Oryctolagus cuniculus: one gene and its partners. The protein of the gene in region 1 purifies or fractionates together with the protein of each later gene. This does not show direct contact. Links are inferred from orthologs where the notes say so. Each region holds a gene or a part of one and is shown on either strand. Other genes may lie near its edges. The genes, in order: ANAPC15, ANAPC7, ANAPC2, ANAPC1, CDC26, CDC27 and ANAPC4.

What was found.
Region 2: the proteins of ANAPC15 (region 1) and ANAPC7 purify together in Homo sapiens (affinity purification with mass spectrometry; 3 studies listed by BioGRID and IntAct, with this or other methods). This does not show direct contact. The link is inferred for Oryctolagus cuniculus from reciprocal best matches to the Homo sapiens genes ANAPC15 and ANAPC7.
Region 3: the proteins of ANAPC15 (region 1) and ANAPC2 purify together in Homo sapiens (affinity purification with mass spectrometry; 4 studies listed by BioGRID and IntAct, with this or other methods). This does not show direct contact. The link is inferred for Oryctolagus cuniculus from reciprocal best matches to the Homo sapiens genes ANAPC15 and ANAPC2.
Region 4: the proteins of ANAPC15 (region 1) and ANAPC1 purify together in Homo sapiens (affinity purification with mass spectrometry; 3 studies listed by BioGRID and IntAct, with this or other methods). This does not show direct contact. The link is inferred for Oryctolagus cuniculus from reciprocal best matches to the Homo sapiens genes ANAPC15 and ANAPC1.
Region 5: the proteins of ANAPC15 (region 1) and CDC26 purify together in Homo sapiens (affinity purification with mass spectrometry; 3 studies listed by BioGRID and IntAct, with this or other methods). This does not show direct contact. The link is inferred for Oryctolagus cuniculus from reciprocal best matches to the Homo sapiens genes ANAPC15 and CDC26.
Region 6: the proteins of ANAPC15 (region 1) and CDC27 purify together in Homo sapiens (affinity purification with mass spectrometry; 3 studies listed by BioGRID and IntAct, with this or other methods). This does not show direct contact. The link is inferred for Oryctolagus cuniculus from reciprocal best matches to the Homo sapiens genes ANAPC15 and CDC27.
Region 7: the proteins of ANAPC15 (region 1) and ANAPC4 purify together in Homo sapiens (affinity purification with mass spectrometry; 10 studies listed by BioGRID and IntAct, with this or other methods). This does not show direct contact. The link is inferred for Oryctolagus cuniculus from reciprocal best matches to the Homo sapiens genes ANAPC15 and ANAPC4.

What each region holds. Positions count from the first base shown.
Region 1 is NC_091432.1:63,593,510-63,597,731, reverse strand, and holds the start of ANAPC15 (anaphase-promoting complex subunit 15), read left to right. Parts: upstream 1-1,422; 5' UTR 1,423-1,569; intron 1,570-1,659; exon of another isoform or gene 1,660-1,745; intron 1,746-1,792; exon of another isoform or gene 1,793-1,901; intron 1,902-2,717; exon of another isoform or gene 2,718-2,802; intron 2,803-2,934; 5' UTR 2,935-2,944; coding exon 2,945-3,064; intron 3,065-3,576; coding exon 3,577-3,636; intron 3,637-3,950; coding exon 3,951-4,096; intron 4,097-4,222. UniProt on the Homo sapiens protein: Component of the anaphase promoting complex/cyclosome (APC/C), a cell cycle-regulated E3 ubiquitin ligase that controls progression through mitosis and the G1 phase of the cell cycle.
Region 2 is NC_091452.1:8,069,590-8,073,089, forward strand, and holds part of ANAPC7 (anaphase-promoting complex subunit 7), read right to left. Parts: intron 2,381-3,500; coding exon of another isoform or gene 2,341-2,380; intron 464-2,340; coding exon 352-463; intron 1-351. UniProt on the Homo sapiens protein: Component of the anaphase promoting complex/cyclosome (APC/C), a cell cycle-regulated E3 ubiquitin ligase that controls progression through mitosis and the G1 phase of the cell cycle.
Region 3 is NC_091432.1:237,477,511-237,481,010, forward strand, and holds part of ANAPC2 (anaphase-promoting complex subunit 2), read right to left. Parts: coding exon 3,420-3,500; intron 2,059-3,419; coding exon 1,884-2,058; intron 1,630-1,883; coding exon 1,510-1,629; intron 1,221-1,509; coding exon 1,103-1,220; intron 1-1,102. UniProt on the Homo sapiens protein: Together with the RING-H2 protein ANAPC11, constitutes the catalytic component of the anaphase promoting complex/cyclosome (APC/C), a cell cycle-regulated E3 ubiquitin ligase that controls progression through mitosis and the G1 phase of the cell cycle.
Region 4 is NC_091433.1:113,013,416-113,016,214, forward strand, and holds part of ANAPC1 (anaphase-promoting complex subunit 1), read right to left. Parts: intron 1,518-2,799; coding exon 1,383-1,517; intron 1-1,382. UniProt on the Homo sapiens protein: Component of the anaphase promoting complex/cyclosome (APC/C), a cell cycle-regulated E3 ubiquitin ligase that controls progression through mitosis and the G1 phase of the cell cycle.
Region 5 is NC_091432.1:216,878,127-216,882,359, forward strand, and holds the start of CDC26 (anaphase-promoting complex subunit CDC26), read right to left. Parts: upstream 2,801-4,233; 5' UTR 2,567-2,800; exon of another isoform or gene 2,114-2,566; intron 808-2,113; 5' UTR 705-807; intron 116-704; 5' UTR 76-115; coding exon 1-75. UniProt on the Homo sapiens protein: Component of the anaphase promoting complex/cyclosome (APC/C), a cell cycle-regulated E3 ubiquitin ligase that controls progression through mitosis and the G1 phase of the cell cycle.
Region 6 is NC_091448.1:17,014,162-17,016,769, reverse strand, and holds part of CDC27 (cell division cycle protein 27 homolog), read right to left. Parts: intron 1,476-2,608; coding exon 1,401-1,475; intron 323-1,400; exon of another isoform or gene 304-322; coding exon 147-303; intron 1-146. UniProt on the Homo sapiens protein: Component of the anaphase promoting complex/cyclosome (APC/C), a cell cycle-regulated E3 ubiquitin ligase that controls progression through mitosis and the G1 phase of the cell cycle.
Region 7 is NC_091433.1:20,500,248-20,503,747, reverse strand, and holds part of ANAPC4 (anaphase-promoting complex subunit 4), read right to left. Parts: intron 2,977-3,500; coding exon 2,890-2,976; intron 1,871-2,889; coding exon 1,806-1,870; intron 1,129-1,805; coding exon 1,086-1,128; intron 971-1,085; coding exon 894-970; intron 1-893. UniProt on the Homo sapiens protein: Component of the anaphase promoting complex/cyclosome (APC/C), a cell cycle-regulated E3 ubiquitin ligase that controls progression through mitosis and the G1 phase of the cell cycle.

The DNA of each region.
Region 1 (4,222 bases):
TTATTGTTTATCTCTTATTGGAATGACAACTGGATGAAGAGAGGGACTTTTTTGTTCAGTATTATATATCCACTACTTAAAATAGTGATGGATATATACCAAGTCACTCAGTAGGTATCTGCTGAATCAATGACTAAACTGAAAAGGTGAATATTTCCAAGAGGCACATTTTAAATATTTAATGAAAAATATTTTAACAAACTCCTATCACATTTGATATACACAGTACACTATCTCTTTCTTAAAAGATTTGCTAATTCAAAAGGCAAAATGATAGCAAGAAAAATGGGAAGGGCAGAGAACAAAAAGAGAGGGGAGAGAGAAAATCTTCCATCTGCTGCTTCACTCCTCAAAATGGCCACCAGGCTGAAGCCAGGAGACAGGAACTACATCCAGGTGTCTGACACGAGTACTTGGGCCATCATCCAGTGCTTCCCAGGCACACTAGCAGGGAGCTGGATGGGAAGGGGTGCAGCCGGGACTCCGACGGGCACTGATACAGGATGCAAGTGTCTCAGGCAGTGGCAGACTCCCTGCACCACAGTGACCCAGCCTACATTACCTCTTGAACAGAAAATCTTCACGTTAGCAAAGGGTCACAGGAAGGCTGGAAAGAGAAGGAACTGAGTCTAGGCAGAGGAAAAGGACTTTGCCAAAGGTCACGCATTGGCTGGACAGCACTGGAGCTGCGGATGACTGCTGGCTCTGAAAGAGGCTGGTAGGAGGTGCAGCTCCGTGGGAGCTGGCTTAGAAGGACCTCTTGCAAGAAGGCATGAGGATGCTGAAAGGGAGGCTGAGCCTGAGGCCTATAGAACGGAGGCATAAGCAGATGAGCTAGAGATGAGAGGCTGCAGGGGACATGCCCCAGGCCTGAGAAGGGCCGTTCCCCAGCGGTACAATGCTGTGCTTGAGGTTGACTAATCTCTCAAACCTGCACATAATCTCCAGTGTCAGAATGGGGCAGGCGACCTAAGACAGACTTTAGTCTGGAGCCGATGGCTTGCCCACCGGATTGCGAGGGCGTTGGGGGAAGCGAGCATGTTCGCAGATTCATCCCCAGCTTCTAGCAGAGCCTGGAACACCGGGGATACACAAAAGAATGAATGGACTCAAGCAGGAAACCGAGGCTGAGAAAGGACGGGCAGGAGGGAAATCAAATCATCCCGCGATTTTGAGGTAGAAGCACATCAAATTCTCTGGGACGCACCACGACAAACCAGCTTTCGTACGAACACAGCTTGCTGCCCGCTGTTCAACAAGGGGTTCGCGAGCAATTATTGCCTGGGGCAGAGGGGCGGGACTAAAAGCAGCCGTTGGGGCGGGGCCAACCTGGAGAGGTCAAATGGCTGGGATTCGAGGCGGGGCCAAAAGGTAGGCGCGGCAAGTGTCCTTCTCCAACTAGTACGTGACTGAGGTGTGTACTACGTCACATCCGGCCGACGGCGGTAGCGGGAAACAAAAGGAGCCGAAGAACGCATGCGTTTGGTGGGTCCCGGATTCTGGCGGGTCCTTCCGCTCAGGCGGGGTGAAGCGCTTCCGGGTCGCCGCCGGCTGCCGCTTCCCGGCGCGGTAAGTACAGAAGCGAGGCTGTGGCCGGCTCCTTGCCCGTTCTTCCTTTCTTCCCCCCGAGAAACTCAGTTCTTTAACCCTCTTCCTCAGGAGCTCCATGTCCAGACTCCTTTACCCTTATAGAGCTCCAGCTCATTGGCCGCTTCCTCGAGGCTAAGCCCCACCCCATTACTCAGGTCCGTCCATTCATTGGTGTCACTTCCTGTCACCCAACATTTCTTTCAGTTAATTGGCTCTACCCAGACCCCGCTCCTTTCTCGGTTAGCAACCCTATATGGGCAAACTCCTGTCCGAGTCCCGCCCCCGCCTTCCTCCTGTTGGTCAACCTTACGGTTATTATCATCTTAAGCAAAGAAGGGGCGGTGGCTTCGCGGTGGAGGGTTGGGCTTTCGGGGCCAAAATCTCTGGCCTGTCAGTTCTGAGCGCGAGGGTGGACTGTACCTACTACACGGGCTGGGGAGCTGAGGCCTAGGGAGGGGCGGCGGCTGGCCCTGGGTCGATCAGATCAGGGCAAGAGCAGGACTACACATCGACCCTTTCCCCCTGCTCTTCTCCCTCGGTGTCTGGCCTGACCCCCTCCGCGCGTTCGTTCTAAGCCCTGACTCACTGTGTGACCTAAAGCCAGTCTCTGCCTGCCACTGGGTCTCAGTTTTCCCGTTTGTTTGTGGAGAGGTTTGAGTTCAAGATTCTCTGGGGCATTCCCAGTTAGCTTTGTCAGCTACGTAATCAAAGCTGATTTTCCTTGTTCTTTTACGTATTCAGCCATGCAGTCTTCTGTCTACCTATTCACTTACCCATGCCTTGTGGAACAGCTTACTGCACCCTGCTTGCCCGGGGTAACCCACGCTCCCTCCTTCCCCCCTCCCACCAATTTGACTGTGGTCAGTGACAGAAGTGGTTAGTGTCCTAAATTTCTGAAACCGGGTGGGTGTGGCATGTACTCTCGGTTTGAATGCTCAGAAGTGGTGATTATTTCAGTAAATCCCTGCTAGTTTGCTATAATTTCATAATGCCAAGGTGCCTTCTGGGTTCCTGTTTCTACACTTGGCGCCCATTCTCTTGCCTGCTTGAACAGCCTACAGATAGCAGTACTTGATTATCGCAGTAACTTTGAGGGTGATAAAATTGTTACTATCCCCATTTTACAGATGAGGAAACTGAGGCCCAGAGAGGTTAAGTGACTTGGCCAAGGTCAAACAGCTAGTAAGTGGTGGAGCCAGGACTGAAACCCAGGTCTGTCTGATTCCTAGAGGAAAGTAGCTGCCCTTCCTTGCTACTTTCTACACCACCCCATCCCTGAATCAAATTACTCCCAAATAAGAATCAAGCCAAGACAAACGACATTCACCTGACGTTCTCCCTCAGTCCAGGAGCCATGTCCACCTTGTTCCCTTCCCTCTTCCCTCGTGTGACTGAGACACTGTGGTTTAATCTGGATCGACCCTGTGTGGAGGAGACAGAGCTGCAGCAGCAGGAACAGCAGCATCAGGCGTGGGTGAGTGAGGATCTAGCCCAGCAGTCAGAGCCCCCCACCCCCTCAGTGGGCCTCAAGGCAGACCTTCCCTGCAGGAACTTTTTGCCCTGAGCTGAGAATAGTCAGGCTGGGAGCCAGGGGGCCAAGGTTCTTGTCTTTGTGGTAACCTGATTGTTGGGAGGACCATGGGACTTCTGGGCCAGATTGGAACCCAGGCTCCTGACAGTCATCCCTAACTCTCTTCCCTAAGGCTTAGGAAATAACACGTTTGATAGTTATTGCAGACCTAGCAGGAGGCGTGTTCACCCTCACTATAGTTATAGGAGGAAAGAAAGACCCAGAGTGCTGAAGTAGCAGATCAACCTCATAGAAAAGGGGCAGATGACAGGAGGGAGAGGCCTGCATCTTCCGAGAACCGGGAGGAAGCTTCTCCCCCACACTTGAACGTCTTTTCTGGGGCAGAGTGGGTCAGTCCCATGCCTCTGACCTGCCCTGCTTGCACCCTGGTCCTGCTCTGCCCCTCTGGCCTCCAGCTCCAAAGCATTGCAGAGAAAGACAACAATCTGGTACCTATCGGCAAGCCAGCCTCAGAGGTGAGTGGCCCCGGCACGAGAGACCTGAGTGGGCCTGGGGTGGACCAAGGCTCTGTTCTAATTCTGAATGTCCTGCCTCTGACCCAGAGCAGTTGTGATTCTCAGCTCTGGATGGAGACAGAAAGGGGAACTAGAGGGATGGGCCTTGGGCCTAGCACTGTGGTTTTGCAAAACAGGTGCTAACCTTAAAGGGGTAATGTTGGCGAGTATGAGGGTCATTCTGGCCCCAGAAAGCGGCTTCAAGTGGGCCAGCTCTTGAACGGGTCCAGGCTGGCCTGTAGGGTCTACAGGTGCTCCCCTGCCCCACCCCCCAGCACTATGATGATGAGGAAGAAGAAGATGATGAAGACGATGAGGACAGTGAAGAAGACTCAGAGGATGATGAGGACATGCAGGACATGGACGAGATGAATGACTACAACGAGTCACCTGATGATGGAGAGGTCAATGAGGTAGGCAGGTGTGTTGGGAAGGGCCTCTGTTCCTGGGCCCCTACCCCTGACCTCACTGATGGCCAAGGGGTACAGAAACCCTGGATCCAGCCAGGGGCACGATCTGGGGCTGAGGCTGGCTGAGGCTCCTCCCC
Region 2 (3,500 bases), on another chromosome or scaffold:
GGCACAGGGGTTAAAGAGCTGCCTTGGGTGTCCATATCCTGGACTTGAGTCCTGGCTCCACTCTGATTTCCGCTTTCTGCCTCTGCACAACATGGGAGACAGCAGCGGATGGTTCAAGTAGCTGGGTCCCCGCCTCCCCCGTGAGATGTGTGGATTGAGTTTCCAGCTCCCAGGCATTTTAGGGAGTGAACCAGTGGATGGCAGCTCGCTCTCTCTCAAATAAGGTAAACTTTTAAGAAACAAATCAAAATTAAAAAAATAAATAAAGCTATGTAACGATATGGCCAAGATGGAGAACTACTAGCCTGCACATCAGGCCCTCCATGAACGCAGGTAGAGAATGATCTATACCTAGAATGGCATCCAGGGCTAAAGGGCACTGCCGCAGCACCTCCTTATAGCTGGTGACTGAAGGGCGCTCCTGACCAGCCTTCTTGTACAAATTTGCCAGCATCATGTTTATCTGTATAAAAAAATAAAATAAAGGACAGCAAGTTACATGCATAGTGCCATGAAAAAGTCCTGTTTTTTACTACCAGATACTCTACTGTTTTTTTTACTGGACAACCTACCACAGCCTTCTACAAATAAACAAAGAACAAGCCCATTCATCAAAATGAAGAAGAAACTACTACACTTTCTTTTCCTAGGTACTCCCATCTCTAAGAGGAAAGTCTCATTACCCTCTCACTTACCTAACCAAGAGGCCCAGTATTACCCTGGCCAAAGATGCTGCCTCTGGAAACAAGAACTGCATTCATTTGAGGAATGTCCTAGAATTCTAGTTACCATGATTCTTTTTTGATCTTAAGATAGAGGATGAACTACCCCAAACTGCTAAATTCTGTACATTTTAAATTGAATTACTATTAAGGGATAAGAAAATGAGGACCTGTTAACATAGCTAGTTAAGAAGAATCAGACACATTCTCCCCAGAGGAAATGACAGATAGAGAGGTGTGATACTTGGCTTCTCCCTGACAATGAGACCAATGGCTGGACTCTACCCTAACACTTAAAGCTCTGACATGTGGGTACTATCTGACTCACCAAAGTAACACTATAAAAACCAGATTCAAACTGACCTCCAGAGGCGATCCATGATTAGATATATGATTTAAATCCAGAGTGCAGACATCTGTTTTTTGGCACAATTTAAGTAGATAACTTTGGGGCCAGCATTGTGGTGCAGCAGGTTCAACTACGACTTGTGAGGCTAGCAGCTCACACAGTCCAAGTGCTTGGGTCTCCACCCATGTGGGAGACCAGATGGAGCTCCTAGCTCCTGGCCTTGGCATGGCCCAGGTCTGACTGGCAGCCACTTGAGGAGTGAACCAGCAGATGGAAGATCAGTCTGTTTCTCTCTCATTCTTAGTCTTTTTCTCTGTCACTCTGCCTTTCAAATAAATACATACTTACAAAAATAGACAGATACATATTTAGTAAAACTATATCAATGCTAATTCTCTGTAAAAACCACAGCAGGAAGAATTTGAGGAAATCTCAAAGTTCCAAAGAATGTAGAAGTTACAGAGAAGGGATAAATGATCTCACTAGTGCAAAGAGAAGACAATGTTCCAATTTTAAATTAATAGATCTTAAATATAGAAAGTGTTTGGCAGATCATTAACTGAAGGAAGCAGTCAACATGAGGGCACAAAAGAAAAAAAAAGTCAACCGCAATCTCTTCAGTTATCTGTGGTTCTGCATGCCAGACATTTCCTCAAGGGGTAAACACTCTGAGGATTAAGAACATCTCTTCTCATCAGAGACCTGCATTAGATTAAACAATCCAGTACAGAACTAATCCACACTAATTCAAACAGTAAAGTAATGAAATACTAGAAACAGAAGATTTTCACTTGGCCTCAGATTTTCCATTTTAGGCTATTTTGAAAATGCAAAGGAAGGTACTTAAAGGAAAACTCCAGTATCGGTGTCAATATTAAAAAAAAAAAAAAAGTTGAATTTAAGATCGTTTCTTGACTACTTGTTATTAAAAAGCTATGACAGATGGACCGGATGTTTGAACATCAGAATTTCCTTTAAGCTACTTGACCATCACTGAAAGAATGAGTTCTGAGTACTACTTAGTGAAAAAATCAATTTTCTTAAAAGGTAATTGTTATCTGGGACCATCATAAAGCCACATTTCACCAGCTATAAACTCAAGCAGTCATCATTTTCCAAAAACTAAGTGAGACATTGTACGTTTACTCTTGAAAATTTACCAAGATACAATAATCTTAACACTGGAATTTTCCTTTAACTTATGAGGGAATGTGTGGCGGTGTTTACCATACATTAACAGATGTTCAATTAGACGTATTTTTGACTCACTTCCTTGTCCTTTACACAGACTGAGAAGCCAGTTAACTCCCTAACAGACAAGAAAGAAAAACTGTAAATATTTTAGGTTTATGTTTGAGGCACACATCTTTGTTTGCTCCTGACTACAAGAGTTCAACTGAGAGAAGAATCTGCCCTCCTAACACACAGACTCCTCGAGCCCCTCCTGAAGTGATGGCTGTAGACATTAAGAACTGGGTACCACAAAGCTGAGCTGCTTTGCCAGTAACCCACTTTCTAAAAATGTCCTTCCAAAGCTGGCAAGTCACTGAGGAAACCATGGCACATTTCTAGTGAGACAAGCAACAGTTCATTCAAAATTATCAAAATGGCTTCTTCCAAAAGGAAGACATCTTGAGCATAGGAACAGACACAAAAATTCTGAGGGTAAGAAAAGACTTTTAGACGTTACAACAACACAATTTACTATACAGGACCCAAATACAGTTCCAAGTATTTTTATTAGCAGTAACCTTCATAAATTAGATGGAAGAAATAACTTAAATTTTAAAAACTTAGAAAATAGTAAATAATTCCTTAATACAAGGAAGTCTAAAAACACAGTTCTCAAGAAGTTCTGCTATTTTTAAAATTCAGCAACACTTGAATAAAGCAGCAGTAACTAAAATGCCCCAGATCCCCCTTGCTTAGATTCCTTGCCTTGTAAGGGCAGGAGGATGAACACAAACATCTTACCTGGAAAATTCCTTATTGCTAAGCACAAGCGCCACAGAACAGTTTTTCAATAAAATAAGAAGGGCAGGAGATATGAGTATATGTTAGAGTATTAAATATTGATATGAATTTGAACCTATGAGTAGATTCTCACTGTTCTTCTAAAATGGATTAAAAAAAAAAAAAACTGATGCCCAATATATTATGCCAGGCACTGTGGTGCAGCGGGTTATGCCACCCCTTCGGTCACGCACATCTCATACTGGAGTGCCTGGGTTGGAGTCCCAACTACTCTGTCCAACCTGGGAGGCAGCAGATGGCCCAAGTATTTGAGATCCTCCCACCCACACTGGAAACAGATGGAGTTCCTGACTCCTGGCTTCATCCTACCCAGACCTAGATGTTGCAGGTATTTGGGGGGTAAACCAGAGGATGAAGGATCTGTCACTCTATCTTTCAAATAAAGAAAGCTTTAA
Region 3 (3,500 bases), about 170 Mb from region 1:
GGGGGGCCCAGGTTGCTGCAGGACACAGGGACAGTGGGGGGCCAGGTCACCACAGGAGACAGGGACAGTGGGGGGGGCCGGGTCACTGCAGGACACAGGGACAGTGGGGGGCCGGGTCACTGCAGGGGGACACTGGGACAGTGGGGGGCCGCGTCACCACAGGACACAGGGACAGTGGGGGGCCGGGTCACTGCAGGGGGACACTGGGACAGTGGGGGGCCGCGTCACCACAGGACACAGGGACAGTGTGGGGGCCGGGTCGCTGCAGGGGGACACTGGGACAGTGGGGGGCCGCGTCACCACAGGACACAGGGACAGTGTGGGGGCCGGGTCGCTGCAGGGGGACACTGGGACTGTGGGGGGCCAGGTCACCACAGGACACAGGGACAGTGTGGGGGCCAGGTCGCTGCAGGACACAGGGACAGTGGGGGGCCCGGGTCGCTGCAGGACACAGGGACAGTGGGGAGCCCGGGTCTCTGCAGGACACAGGGACAGTGGGGGGCCCGGGTCTCTGCAGGACACAGGGACAGTGGGGAGCCCGGGTCTCTGCAGGACACAGGGACAGTGTGGGGGCCAGGTCGCTGCAGGACACAGGGACAGTGGGGGGCCCGGGTCGCTGCAGGACACAGGGACAGTGGGGAGCCCGGGTCGCTGCAGGACACTGGGACAGTGGGGGGCCCGGGTCTCTGCAGGACACAGGGACAGTGGGGGCCCGGGTCTCTGCAGGACACAGGGACAGTGGGGGGCCCGGGTCTCTGCAGGACACAGGGACAGTGGAGGGGGGCCCGGGTCACTGCAGGACACAGGGACAGTGGAGGGGGGCCCGGGTCACTGCAGGACACAGGGACAGTGGAGGGGGGCCCGGGTCACTGCAGGACACAGGGACAGTGGGGGGCCCAGGTCGCTGCAGGACACTGGGACAGTGGGGGGCCGCGTCACCACAGGACACTGGGACAGTGGGGGGGCCGAGTCACTGTAGGGGGACACTGGGACCGTGGGGGGCCGGGTCGCTGCAGGACACAGGGACAGTGGGGGGGATAGGAGCCCCGAGGTGCCCGGCGTGAGAAGGCCGGGAGGCCGGCTCCCTGGTGCGGGGCCTCACCTCAGGTAGCGGCGGATGGGCTCACAAGCCACCTCCAGGATGACCATGGAGGGGTCCAGCACACGCAGCGCCTTGATGGCCGAGATGTAGAGAGTGATGATGTCACACGTGTTGACGCCTGCGGGGGTGGGGGCGCGGTCACTCAGAGTCCTGGACAGCAGCCCCCAGGTGCCGGTGCCAACACCCAAGTGGGCAGCCTACGGGTCTCCCCCGGGACCTGTCTCCCTAGGGGACCACAGGGAGCTGACCCCACCCCCACTTCCACCTTCTCACAGGCACTTTCTCCAGAGGCTTCCACGGACCAGGCAGCCTGTTCTGAGGAGCCCCCACCCCAGGCCAGACCAGCTGGGCCCTGCCTTCCTCCAGGAGCGCGCCCGGCCCAGGGGCTGCGCCGGGGCTGAGGGCACCTGGGTGGAGGAGCCGGGCCTCCAGCGCAGCTTTGAGCGACACGAGCAGCTGCTGCCTCTGGTCCGTCCTCTCCAGGCAGTACTTGAGGTCCTCGATGGCCGGCCGGGAGTCTGGGAAATCTGCGGGAAGGGGCCACCTCAGGGCCATGCACACGCACGCACACGCACACGCACACGCACACACGGGCAGGCCGGGAAGGCGCACGCGGCGAGGACACACGGGCTGCGGGCGCTCTGGGGACGGCACCCTTGACGCTCGCACGGGCGGCGTCTCAGCACAGCAACCCCGCGGGGTCACTGCCCACCAGGCCGAAGGGGCAGGGGACAGCGAGCCGGCGGGGTGTGGCCAGGACGTGGGTGGGGGCAGCACCCACCCCGCACGATGCTGAAGAGCTCCTCGATGCGCAGGCTGGCGTAGGTGCGGTAGAAGAACCTCTGCACGTGGCAGCGCCAGCGCCGCAGCGTGTTGCCGGCCTCCGGGGACGCGGGCCGGGCAGGGCCGTCCTGCAGGAACACCTTGCCCAGCCAGCCGACCACCCTCTCGATCCACTGTCGGAGAGCCCCCACGCGTGAGTGGCAGTGAGCCCCAGCCAACCCAGAGGCTGCCCACCCTGCTGGTCAGGCCTCGGCAGGCCCACCTCGCCCCTGCAGGGTGGGCCCCGCCCCCAGCACCTGTTACGCCTCACACCCTGCTGCGCATCAGGGCCCGGCAGGTCCCTGGCAGGCAGGGGCCACAGACTCAGCCGTGGTGACGACCGTGAGTGCCTGCGTATCCACAGCCCCCCATGGGCCCACTCGCCCAGACACCGCCTCAGCCCCAGCCCTCTGCTGTACGGGTGCAGCACACGGCCCCCAGTCCCCTCACCTCCCCAGTCCCCCCCATCCCCTCACCCCCCCAGTCCCCTCCCATACCCCCGTCCCCTCACCCCCCCAGTCCCCTCACCCCCAGTCCCCTGACTCCCCCAGTCCCCCCCCATCCTCCCCATCCCCTCACCCCCCCGGCCCCTCACCTCCCCAGTCCCCTCTCTCCCAGTACCCCCATCCCACCAGTCCCCTCACCCCCCTCACCCCCCCAGTCCCCTGACTCCCCCAGTCCCCCCCATCCCCTCACCCCCCCGTCCCCTCACCCCCCCGGCCCCTCACCCCCCCAGTCCTCCCCATCCCCCCCGTCCCCTCAACCCCCAGTCCCCTGACTCCCCCAGTCCCCCCCCATCCTCCCCATCCCCTCACCCCCCCGGCCCCTCACCTCCCCAGTCCCCTCTCCCCCAGTACCCCCATCCCACCAGTCCCCTCACCCCCCTCACCCCCCCAGTCCCCTGACTCCCCCAGTCCCCCCCATCCCCTCACCCCCCCGTCCCCTCACCCCCCCAGTCCTCCCCATCCCCCCCGTCCCCTCACCCCCCCGGCCCCTCACCTCCCCAGTCCCCTCTCCCCCAGTACCCCCATCCCACCAGTCCCCTCACCCCCCTCACCCCCCCAGTCCCCTGACTCCCCCAGTCCCCCCCATCCCCTCACCCCCCCGTCCCCTCACCCCCCCGTCCCCTCACCCCCCGGTCCACACTGCCGGCCGGCCTGCACCCCGCCCCTGGCCCCTCATCCCCCCCCCCCCGGTCCATGCTGCCGGCCGGCCTGCACCCCGCCCCCGGCCCCTCATCCCCCCGTCCACACTGCCGCCGGCCTGCACCCCGCCCCTGGCCCCTCACCCCCCGTCCACACTGCCGCCGGCCTGCACCCCGCCCCCGTCCCCCCCCCCCCCGTCCACACTGCCGCCGGCCTGCACCCCGCCCCTGGCCCCTCACCCCCCGTCCACACTGCCGCCGGCCTGCACCCCGCCCCCGGCCCCTCACCCCCCGTCCACACTGCCGCCGGCCTGCACCCCGCCCCTGGCGCCAGCGTGGCGGGGAGGTCACCTTGTGGAACTCGCGCAGGAAGGAGCGCTCGTACTCGCCCCTGCAGCGGTCCTCCATGCGCTCCCGCGTCACCTGGTGCAG
Region 4 (2,799 bases), on another chromosome or scaffold:
GTATTCTAAAAAACAGCTAAATGCTAACATTATTATTATTTTTTTTTTTTGACAGGCAGTTAGACAGTGAGAGAGACAGAGAGAAAGGTCTTCCTTTTCCTTTGGTTTGCCCCCCAAGTGGCCGCTAAGGCCGGTGTGCTTCACTGATCCGAAGCCAGGAGCCAGGTGCTTCTCCTGGTCTCCCATGGGGTGCAGGGCCCAAGGACCTGGGCCATCCTCCACTGCACTCCCGGGCCACAGCAGGGAGCTGGCCTGGAAGAGGAGCAACCGGGACAGAATCCAGTGCCCCAACCGGGTCTAGAACCCAGGGTGCTGGCGCCACAGGCAGAGGATTAGCCAAGTGAGCCGCAGCACCGGCCAACATTATTAATTTTTAAATCCTCTTATGAAAAAAGTCAAACACATACAATATTAAGCACTTGTTCATTTAAAGCTTTATAATTTTAGGATTTAAGATTTCACACACACACACACACACACACACACAGATATATATGGTAAAGTCAGGATGGGCATTTGGCTAGCAGCTTAGATGCCACTTATGACATTCACATCCCACATCAGAGTGACTGGATTCAATTCCTGCTCTGATTCCTGACTTCCGCTTCCCACTAATGCAGACCTGCGATACAGCAGTAATGGCTCAAGTTGACTGGGTTCCTACCACCCACATGGGGGACCTGGATTGAGTTCCAGGCTCCTGGCTTTACTGAGGGCATTTGGGGAGTAAACCAGCACATAGGAGCTCTTTTTGTCTGTCTCTATCTTGCAAATAAAATAAATAAAGACAGGATCTTACAAAGAAAAAAAAATTGAAAATTGAAGTTTAGTTTAAAAAGGAATAAGTGCCAGCACTGTGGCACAGTGGGTTACACCTGCCTGTGATGCGATGCTGGGACCCCATATGAGCACGGGTTTGAGTCCTAGTTATTCTACTTCTGATCCAGCTCCATGCTAACGTGCCTAGGAGACACGGATGGAGTTCCAGGCTCCTGGATATTGCCGCTATCTGGGGAGTGAATCACCAGATGGAAGCTCTCTCTCTCTCTCCCCATCTCTCTGTAACTCTGCCTTTCAAATAAATCCATAAATCTTTTAAAAAATGGATTAACAGAGGATAATATGAACATCTAGTCTAATGGTGCAGACCAGTGTTTGGGGTTCCATGAAGAATCCATCCTTGGGTGACTATAAATGAAAGTTTACACATGTGTAAAGTTGACAGGTTCTTTTTTTCCAGAAAAAACTCTCATCGATGCCAATGAATCATTAATGACGAGCTAGAGAACATAACTCAATGGAAACTTTTCCTACCAAGAAAGTAAAAACCTAAGGCTGTTGGTAATGGAGGTCCTGAAAAGAAGCTTTAGTTATGCAAGTACCTTCTAGTGCCACAGACGGCAGGTGGCGCGGAGCAGGCACCGAGTGGTAGACGAGGAAGCAGGCCAGCATGCTCAGCTGAGATTCCTCGAAGGGCTGCCCACTGAGGTAGGCGTGCACACACATGTCACCCCCGGCTGTGGAAGAAACACAAATTCAATGGAAGCAACTGACAGCGGAACAAGAGGCCCAGGGATACCTGAATCTTATTACTCTTCCATCAAGAATTTCTGAGCACTTGTCATATATCAACCAGGTACTATGCTGTGTATTGAGGCTACTGCAGCAAACTAGACTAAGTACCTGTTACTGCAGAGTCTGGCCTGTTCTGGAGGAGAGAAAGATGACATAAATAAGGACACAAACAAATGTGTAACTACAAATGCTGAGTGTCATCAAGAGGTAGCAGTCACTGTGGTGATCTCCCAGACAACTTGTTACCACCCTTCCCTCCACTGTGTGACATTTGAGGGGCTGACCTCAGCTCCAAGACTAGATCTCAAACTTCACTGTCCACCAGAGCCACTGAGAGGACTTAGGAACACACAGGCAGGCCCCAACCCCACAATTTCTGACTCACTAGCTCTGGGGTGGGACTAGAAACACTGCATTTCTAAAGCAAGTCCCCCTGCGATGTTGCTGCCGAACCAGGAACCACTGAGAACCACTGCTGTAGGCAATCAAGGCAATCTCATTTCCCTGACACAGTGATCAGCTGAGGGAAACCTCAACATGGTAGATGGAGTGAGCTGTAAAGTCCACTGAACACAACTGTGAGGAAGTTAGTCTCCTGGGAGGTAGAAACACTTTGGGGGGGGGGGGGCACTGTGGGGTAGCAGGTAAAGCCACCGCCTGTAGTGCTGGCATCCCATATGGCCATGGTTTGAGCCCTGGCTGCTCCACTTCCAATCCAATTCTCTGCTATGGCCTGAGAAAGCAGCAGAGGATGGTTCAAGTCCATGGGCCCCTCCCTGCACTCATGAGGGAGACCTGGAAGAAGCTCCTGGCTTTGGATCAGCCCAGCCCTGGCTGTTACAGTTATTTGGGGAGTGAACTAGTGGATGAAAGATCTCTCTGTGTGTAGCCGATTTTCAAATAAATAAGTAAATCTTAAAAAAAAAAAAAAGAAAAGAAAAGAAAAAGAAGAAAGGAAAAAAAGAAAAAGAAACACTTGGGATTTGGGGGAGCAGTAGAAGAAGAGAAATTAAAGGAGACGAGAAGAGATCCTTTAACAGCCTATTAAGAAGGGCAAGCACAGTGGTTCCCATCTCCCCTCCAATGGCTTTCCCTCGCCTGCCAGGTTTTCGTTTCACTGACTTGGCCCTAGTGTTTTTCAGTTTCAAAAACTCTGCTCGTACTTGCTTACTTTGGGTTTACTTTCCTTTTCTTTTTCTAGCTTCTTGAGGTAAAAACTTAAGA
Region 5 (4,233 bases), about 150 Mb from region 1:
GTCCTTTCGAATGCTCTCAAACTCTTCAATGTCATCAAGCTTGAGCTCCAAGCGCGTGGGTTTCCGTCGCAGCATACTGAAATCTACACTGAGAGCAGATCCAATCAACTATGAGCTATTAAAAATGACACAGAGAAAAACTGGAGGTGATACGTTGCAGTTACATACATAAGGCCAATTTCTACACATGTACACTAAAGTGAAGGCAATAGCAAAATCAAACTTGGATTCACACATAGATCTCTTTCTTTTTTTGAAAGGCAGAGTGACAAAGAGATGGAGAGGCACAGAGAGACAGAGATCTCTCATCCACCATAGTTCACTACTCCCATGGCCACAGTGTCTCTGGATGAGCCGGGCCAAAGCCAGGAGTCAGGAGTTCCATTGTTGTTTCCCAAGTGGGTGGCAGGGGTTCACACACACCGGCCATTATCTGGTGCTTTCCCAGGCACATTAGAAGGGAGCTGGACTGGAAGCAGAGCAGCCAAGACTCTGATATGGGATGCCATATTGCAAGATGTGGTTTACCTTCCGTGCCACAATGCCAGCCCCACACATAGATTTCTTAAGGCTTTAGGTGTATGCTTCTTACATTTGTATTTCATGATGGAGATCCACAACGCGGTGATTCAAAAACCTCTTTCTGAAAAAACTGAACACCAGCAAGCTGCCTATAAGAAAATTCTAGGCAAAACTGAACTCACCAATTCACAAGATTCTCTTCAGTGTCTCAATCAACCAGACAGATCATTCATTAGCAAAGACTTCTTGTGCTCCGGCTACAAAATTAAAAGGTACAGACACAACCTGTGGGAGAAACAGACACGTGAGGGGAAAATTAACAGCGAGGGGAGCAAGAACACTGATGAGAATACAATGGCAGCCATGCTGGCCCGAAAGCTGGACTAGGTGTGGGGTGGTGGCCAGGGATGTTAAACACGGCCTATGGCAGGAAATGATGTCTAAATGGAGTCTTAGTCGACATCTAAAGAGCAGGCAGAGAGAACAAGTGCACAAAGAAGCTCAAGAGAACAGTCTGAGTCAAGACAATACTTTTAACAAAAACCCTTTCTTTGAGCAAACAGAACTCCCCATCACGTTTAGTATCTGTTGAGGGGCACCTTCATGGCACCCAACAGAGTCTGTGTATGTACATTAGGCAGTCAGTAAACGTTCCCTGAATATAGGAAACAACTAAAGTAAAATGAACTTGAGTGAGCACTGGGCTAATTTTTCCATCACCATTCTTCACTTGCTTATTTTAATACGAAAACCCTGTGAGGCTGGCAAGATCGTCCTATTTTACAGAGAAAGAAGTCAAAGCAAGCTGTCCAGTCTGGCCTCCTGTAGGAGTCACACATAGGACCGTGGGGTGAGGATTAAATGAGACTGATGTAAATGAACGCCACTGGCTGTACCCAGGATGAAACCGGGGACTGAGAAGTGCATAAAAGAAGAAACATTTCCTCCTCCTCCCATGAAGCCTGAGACAGACACGCAGTGGTAACACAAAACATTACTTTTTTTTTTTTTTTTTTTTTTTTTTGCGGCTCACTAGGCTAATCCTCCACCTTGCGGCACCGGCACACCGGGTTCTAGTCCCGGTCGGGGCGCCGGATTCTGTCCCGGTTGCCCCTCTTCCAGGACAAAACATTACATTTCAATTTGCTTTGACTTAAATCTGATACTGTCCACCAGATTCCAATGCCGACAAGCAGCAGAGGAAAACGAAGTTCCAAATGGGGTGAGGAAGGGATACTGAGAAGATCGCTATGCATTTTAACTTTTCTGCGAAAACGAAAAGCCCACCACCACCACTAGGAAGCAGGGTAGAGACCCGGCTGAAGTGCTGGCTCCGATCCCTTTAAGTTTCCGATCTTTGTCTCGCACCAGACCTTCCTTGCCTCTATACTCTGTTGCTGTCTGAATTGAATGGCGTAATGCCGATTAAGCTCCTGGCTACACAACTGTGGTATTCAGTAAACGCTCAATAAATAACAGGCACTTATGACTGCAGTTGTTGGGGGCGGGGGGCGGAAGAGATAACGATGGGGGAGGGGGGTGTTCCAGCTCTGCAAACACGAACATTTTGAGTCTCCCACCCACTACATGCCTTGTTCATCGCTGATGCCCCCGCACCCAGAGGAGCACAGGGCTATGCAGGAGAGTCGGCTGCGGTCTACCCGACGCCTTCCTAGCCATCATCTCACTCAGTCTGACACAAAGACCCGGCTGAAGACGAAACAAAAGCAACAGCAAAACCGGGCCGAAGCTTCGCCCGCTCTTTACTTCACTTAGACGCTAGAGGGCTCTTTGAGCTTCATCTCTCACCGCTGCCCAAATCCACCGCAAACTGAGCCAGCTCGGCCGGAGCCCCCGGCCCCGGGAGGACTTTCCTCCCCACCCCCACCCCGACAACCCTCCTCGCCCAGCCCCAGGACCACACTCAGCGGTCCGGGCGATGGTTTCCATGGCAACATGGGCCTCCGCCCCGGGACGACGTAAAGTCTCTAGGAGCCCTCGGTAAGCTCCAGAGTTCAGCGCCCGGCCGCGCGACTTGACTCACCTTCCTCTCTCTCCAAGCCCGCTCAGCCCCTTCCCGGAAGGAACCTCAGCTCCCACCACGAATCTACTGCGAGCCCAACTGGACTACACTTCCCAGAGTGCTTCGCGCCCCTCTCCCCTCCAGAACCTCGTCTCCCGCGAGCTTTTCTCGGAGGTTCTAAGGGTCATGCCCCTCCACGCGACCAGAATAGTAACTACTACGACTCCCATGATGCTCCGCGCCGCTCAGGGCGCTGCGTCGGCGCCCGACTTCACTTCCGGTCCGTGACGTAGTTCCGCTTTGCTGGGCGCGCGGTGGATGGTCTGAAACGGAGAGCTTGGCTTTTTCTGGGGCTTGGCTGCTGCGGAGCCCAGCATGGCTTCGTCACGAGCGTCCTCCACGGTACGGAGCTCGGGATCTCAGTTCACTGCGGCAGGGAGCGCCGAGAGGGTGGGGGTCCCTCGGGGAAGGGTCCGTTAGGGAGCGGGCTGACAGGGTGGAGGGCTGCCGGACTCGGTCCTGCCCTCCAGAGCAGAGCAGCATTCCCCGGACCCTTGAGCGAGTGTATGTGCTGTTACTCGTATGCACCTGTCCCACCGCAGCCCCGAACGGCAAACACCACTTCCGACTGGTCCAAACCAGGGCTCCGGAGTGGGCGAGTGTCTTGGCCACGGTGGCTGTCTATAGGAGACCTCGGAATTGGGATGAGGCCTCCCGGCTCCTGCTCTGCTACCACAGGTCTCAAAACGCTTGAGATGGACCGAGCAGGAGCGTTGTCACTGGCTACCCCTCCCTCGGCACCACGCCGGTTCTTTTACCTTACCCTTGGTGTTTCCCCCCGTGTTAAACGGTAACCCTGGAAGTATCACGAAACCCAAAAAGAGCTTGCACTTCCAACAGAATGAAGTGATCGTCTTCCAGAGGCAGAACCACCCGGAGAACCGGGTTTAATCCACCTCTTCAAGCTGTCAAACTGGAAGTGATTGAAGGGCTGACGTGCCCTCCCGCCCCCATCCCCACACCCGCGGGTCCGTGAAGCGCATCTTCCCTGGCGCCCAGTTTGGCCTTTTGTTGGGGGAGGTCAGGATGAACTTCACCCTTTAGGGAAGCCTCGTGGATTGCTAAGATCGAGCCTTGAATTAATCGAAGCCTTCGGTCTAGCAGGCCACCAAAACGAAAGCGCCTGATGACCTGGTGGCTCCGGTGGTGAAGAAGCCACACATTTATTATGGAAGTCTGGAAGAGAAGGAAAGGGAGCGGCTGGCCAAAGGAGAATCTGGGATTTTGGGAAAAGAAGGACTTAAAGCAGGAATTGAAGCAGGAAATATTAATATAACCTCCGGTAAGATGACAGATTTCAGTCCATCTTTACCTTTACCTCCAGTTTTCTGTAATGCGTGCCTTCCTCAGCTTAGATAGCTGTAGTTTTATGTTACAAGTTTTCAATTTTTAAACTTGAATCTATAGACTCATATTTTGCTTACACTACCTAGCATCATCCAGGAGCCTTTTTTTTTTTTTTACAGAATTTTTTTTTTTTTTTTTTTTTGGACAGCCAGAGTGGACAGTGAGAGAGAGAGACAGAGAGAAAGGTCTTCCTTTGCCGTTGGTTCACCCTCCAATGGCCGCTGCGGCCAGCGCACCACGCTGATCTGAAGGCAGGAGCCAGGTGCTTCTCCTGGTCTCCC
Region 6 (2,608 bases), on another chromosome or scaffold:
CATCTGATTATTACCTCACCCTGGTCACCTAAAATTCCACTTGGTATAAAGAAAATAAAACCCCATGGATAGAAAAACAAGCAGTCCACAAATCTTTATGCAAAAAGTAGCTTTCAAATACTCAAAGTCATATGTATGATACTCACTGATCTGTTCTTCTTGAGTTATTGGCTCTTCGTCATCTGGGAGATAGCGTTTATCAATTGCCTCTTTAATCTGGTTATTGGCTCCTTTAGGATCTAAATCCATAGCCCAAGAGAAATTCATCAGGGCGAGGTGTGTCTGACCTAATTTCTTGTAAACCTAAAAATAAACAGCAATACTACATTTTTCATTAAGTTGTGAGCTTCAGCTATAAAATTCTAAACATTTAAAGCTTCAATGGGACTCTTGATTTATGTGCTAACCCCATTCAGACAGGGAAGACATTTACAATCCACAGACGGACTCACGCTGGCTGTGAGCTGCTTCTGAGCGCACTCAGATACCACGTTCAGAATTCCCTGACTACCTTTCAGGTGTGCGTTTCCAAGAATCTCACTCTGACTTGAACACTGACAACGGGAAGAAATGGACTCCAAGCTGCTCGATTAGCAGTCGTTCACACAGTGTGGCGGGCACTTGGGCGGCAGCTGGGAACCTGTGTATGAGGCCTGGCTTCAAGCCCCTGTTCTGCTCCTGATTCCAGCTTCCTGCTAATACAGCCTCTTGGAGGCAGCAGGTGACGGTGTATGTAGCTGGGTTCCTGCCAGCGCACGGAAGACCTGGACTGAGTTCCAGGCTTCTGGTTTCAGCCTGTCCTAACCTCTGGCTGTTGTGCAGGCATTTGGAGAGTGAGCCAACAGATGGACGATCTCTCTCTCTCTCTCTGCCTTTCAAATAATATATTAAAAAAAAAAAGTACATTCACGCTGACTTTAAATATACTTCTATCAACTCAATATCTGCCCACAGTTGTACCAGTTAAATCAATTAGACACTGAGATCCCAGCCTATAAAATAGGAATCTTGGAAGCCATTTCTTCTAATCAAGACAATATTGAGGTATTAACAGTCTTCTTCTGGGGGATTTCTAAGTGTTTTTACTGAGAACTGGAAGCTAAGTGCTTTCCATGTGGTAGTCTCAGTTACAGCCTCATTACTTGCCTTTGGCTGCAAATTGCTAATCTACTTCCAATACCATTTTGGATTAGGATTATGGGTTATGTATTCTTGCTCCTTCATTAGGACATTATCTTCTTAAGATGTCAGAACTAAATCCATTATCTTCAGAGCACTTAGTTCAGAGCTCTCACTGAATTTTCTCAATAGATACTGTACACTAAAGTATTATGTTTATTCTTCAAAAGTTAATATTTGGTATGAAAATCACAGTTTAGGACCATGGCCTCAATCTTTACCTTTCCTATTAAGAAGTAAACAAGGGATTCTTTGGGAACAATTTGCTTCAATTCTTCAAGTTCTTGTAAAGCAGACTGAAAAAGGCAAAGAAAAATTTTAGAGCAGCAAAATTTTACATTTTGATTAAGCAATTATGTTTATTAATTTTCTAAATCATAAAACAAAAGCTTGGTGTTATCTTAATCAATATACTTCATTAATTCTTGTGAAAACAAAATGAAAAACATTTAAGTTACAACAAAAACTAAGAAATGGCAAGCACCCATCAAAATACACTGAAAACCCCCTCCCCACACACAGCCTCTTTTGTGAAACATGAAGGTGGTGACAATCCTTGCTTTTGTCACCATTCTACTTAAAAACAACAACCACCTTATCAGGTTGTGAAAGTGGTTTGAAAACTAAGTTACAGAATAAAGTAGCCTGAAGTTCCATCTGGTCTCCTTGAGTAAGCATTAGGCTTCAAGTATCAACCTACCCAATTTAACTAACAAAGTAAAATATAATCTTTTTTAAAAAAGTTAATGGAGAATGTGTCTTATGGAAAAATTGTGCCTAGATTTCAATTTTTTTGCACCAAAATAAACTTACCTTTTGTTAATTTTAAAACAATTTTTCATGGTTTATTTCAGAAGCAGGGAAAGAGGGAGACAGTGAATGACAGAGAGACAGAGGTCCTAGTCACTGGTCATTGCCCAAAACGCCCACAATCTCTAGGGCTGGGCCAGGAACCGAATTCAGGTCTTCTGTGTATGTGGCAGGGATCCAAGGACTTGCTCATCATCTGCTACCTCCCAGAGTGCACATTACTTGGAAGGTGCCATCAGCAGAGCCAGGACTCAAGCGTAGGCACTCTGATATGGAATGTGGGGTCCCAACGCCACATCTTTTTTTTTTTTTTTTTTTTTTTGACAGGCAGAGTGGACAGTGAGAGAGAGAGAGACAGAGAGAAAGGTCTTCCTTTGCCGTTGGATCACCCTCCAATGGCCGCCGCTGCAGCCGGCGCACCGCGCTGATCCGATGGCAGGAGCCAGGATCCAGGTGCTTTTCCTGGTCTCCCATGGGGTGCAGGGCCCAAGCACCTGGGCCATCCTCCACTGCACTCCCTGGCCATAGCAGAGAGCTGGCCTGGAAGAGGGGCAACCGGGACAGAATCCGGCGCCCCAACCGGGACTAGAACCCGGTGTGCCGGCGCCGCAAGGTGGAG
Region 7 (3,500 bases), on another chromosome or scaffold:
ACAGTGGGGACATGGATCCGAGCTGAGGGCCGAAGTGGGTAAGTGGAGAGCAGGGTGGAGCGTGCCAGGCAGGAGATGGCAAAGGCCCTGCGCGGGAGACAAAACATCGAGTCTGGGAAACTAAATGGCACTAGCGTAGGCAAAGCAGGGCGCTAGGTAGGCTACAGGCCATGCAAAGATCTTGGAGTAAGACAGTAACACAATTAAATCCACTCAGGAACCTACACCCGAGGCACTCAGTGTGGGCTGCAAAACAGCAGTCCAGAGGATGCTCGCTGATCCTCGGGAGATGAGATGTGGCTAGGGAGAGGTACTAAGCATACAGGGATTCTGCAAAATTTAACCCGAACACTCAGCACCCACTTGCAAACTGCTTCACTCAAGTTGCTGTGCATGGAAACAGCGTGAGACTTGAAGTTCTAGGACCAAATCCCAGTTCTGACACTGAGTAATTTTGGGCCAGCCACATAACACATCCTAAATATAAGTTTGCAGTTTCCACTGTGGAAAATGAGGATAATCCTAACAAACAGCCCGCAAAGGTGTTAAATCAAAAAGTACACAGTAGGCTTTAGAAACTGTAAAATACATGGAAACACTTAACTTCACTGCTCACACGAAGGTTGATGTCCAATTCCAATTCTCACCTGAGTGAGAAAAAGACCCAGATGGGGTCTAGACTCATGAAAAGACTTCAAAAATTACTTCATAAAGCAGAATTACTATAACTGATTCTCAATCTTGGGTTCCCCAAGATTCCCCTCAAATGCCAATGTAGTAACTTTAGATGGAAAAGGCTAGAGCATTGCCAAATGATGAAGAGAAGGCCACAGGAAGACCAATGCCATGTACATCTGGGTGCAATACCAAGAAATTCTACATCACCTCCATACCTCTGTAAGTGACTTATAACCAACTTCTGTATACTGGAATATGATGATTCGATAGACTGGCCAAGCTTTTTTAAGCCCTAATTAAGAGAAGAAAATATATTTAGCATTGAACCTGGATACCACATGCCATTCAAAATAAAACAAAATTTAGTGTGTTCATAGCCATTAAATATGTAGATACTTAAACTGTACCTTTACTGTTAACTGGTTCATTAAGAGAGTCTGCAGTTCAGCACTACAATGAAAAAGAAAGCATTCTTAATCACTTCTCTATTCAAAATCTGAATCCATCATTTAAAACTTTTGAATTTCATAGTACAAACAAGATTTTGAAATAAAAAGAAACAGCCTAACAAAAAGTTAAGACTGTTGTACTCACAATGGAACAGATGAAAAACTGGCAACACAAAGTTCAGAAACAGATTGAAATCTATTGGATACACTTGTGCTAACACAGCATTTCAAAACCATAGGGAGAAGTGAGCAGACTCAATAAATCAAACTAGATTTATCTGAATACTTAGGGGAAAAAAGTTAGCTTTCTAGGGCATACAACCAAGTAAATCTAGACTATGTAAATGGAATAAAACAGAAGAAAATACAGATCAACCTCTGAAAGCCCTTACAACAGGAAAGTCTTTTTAAGAGTAACAGCAGGTGCCATAAAGAAAGGTTGGCTTGGCTACATAAAAAGTTTAACCTTTCATATATATTAAAAAATACACACAAACAAAATGTGTGATCACATTTACATTTTTAAAAGTACACAGGAAAGCCTTGAAAGACATACTTTTGTTTGGTAATGTTCTAGAATTTTCTATGTGTGAAGCGGTGCGTACAGGTTTCTTTGGCATCATCTCCATTTACCAAACAGGAGGAGGGGAAGCAGAGCACCCAACCCGAGCTCATTACCTTGCTTTCCCCCACAGCAGCAGGTGCATGAATTCATCCTGCACTGATGTGGTCGTGTTCTTTTCCTAGACAAAACAGTTAACTGTGATACATGTTTTTGCAACTATAAGCACATTTATTTCAAATTAGAGGAACATGACTCTCTCTACCTCAACTTGCCTCAGATTCAGAACTGAAACTGACCACGTGGACATTAGTGCCAGGAGACAGCCAGCTGGCTTCTCCAATACCGTCCTCATCCCCTCACCCTACCTCGGCCACATCAGTGGGCTCCTGTGCACAGGCTCGGTGCTCCGGACGGCAGTGCTGAGGGGTGGACTCTAAGATGTGAGGCCTAGTGGGAGGTGGCTAGGGGGCTGCCAGGGCTGCCAGGGCACGGCCCCCTGAAGGGACTAAGGTAACGCTCGTGGGACTGTGTTTAGCTCCCCCAGGCCTGAGTCTGACGGAAGGGGACGCCTGACGCCCGCGCTCCCAGTCCCACTGCAGAATCCCTCTGGCACACGCTGCAGCTGTGACGCTGGCTGCCACGAGCCTCCCCTGACAGAGGCGGAAGCAATGGGGCTGTCCAATCTTGGACTCAGCCTGCAAAACTGAGGGCGACGCAGACCTCTTCTCTCTAGACATTACTCAGCCTCAGGCATTCTGTTACAGCGGTGGCAGAATGACTAATACAGAGCCCTTTCGGCAAAGCTCTGAGAAAGCAGTGAGGTCAGACCAAGCCATCTGAAAAAAACTAACGAGCTTAGCTGTTTGCAAATCAAAGCAATTTTTCTCATGTATTGCATAAAGTGAACACAGATGCCATGAATGCCTTTACATATTTATTTATTTGAGAGGCAAACAGAGAGAGCAAGCTCCTAGCCACTAACATGTCTGCAACGGCTGGGGCTGGGTTAAGAACAAAGCCAGGAGCCAGGAACCCAACTATATGAGCCATTGGTGCTGCCTCCCAGGTCCACGTTAGCAGGAAGCTGAGTCAGGAGCTGGAGGCGGGCACCAAATCCAGGCACTGCTGTGTGTGTCTCACCCCGGGCCAGACGCCCTAAGCACTCTAACTCTCCCATAGAAACTTAACGGGCATTACCTGCACAAACTTAGTGAGACGAGAATCCATCTGCATGAGGATCTCTTCCCATGCTTCACACATACACGTCAGCGACAAATTTATATACTGTTAAAAGAGTGTCAATGAAAAACATTTAAACTAGCACGCTCACTAGACAATATGTGCTTCTTATTGTCAAATGTTTCAGAGAAATCCAGAATTTACTTTCAATTACGCTTTTAACTCAGTTAAGCCTAAGAAGAGAAGATGATAGATAACATTTCCTAATTACTTAACTTTAAAGCACATGATGATTCTTTCAGCTTTCACAATAAAACATTCTTAAATTAGGTTCGTGCCTGGTAAAACAAATATCCTAAGCTTTCCCAGGCCATAGCAGAGAGTGGGATTGGAAGTGGAGTAGCCGGGACTCAAACCAGCAGGTGTATGGGATGCGGGCACTACAGGCGGCGACTTTACCAGCTACGCCACAGCCCCGGCTCTGGGATAGTATGTTTCATGCACACTGACTGTCAAAATGTTGCTCTGCCAGCTAATCAGTTTTCAACGACAGCCCTTAAAAAGACTCTCTTGACTTCTGAGAATGAACAACATGGCCACGATTCACTGTAGCTCCTCCTTCCAGATGC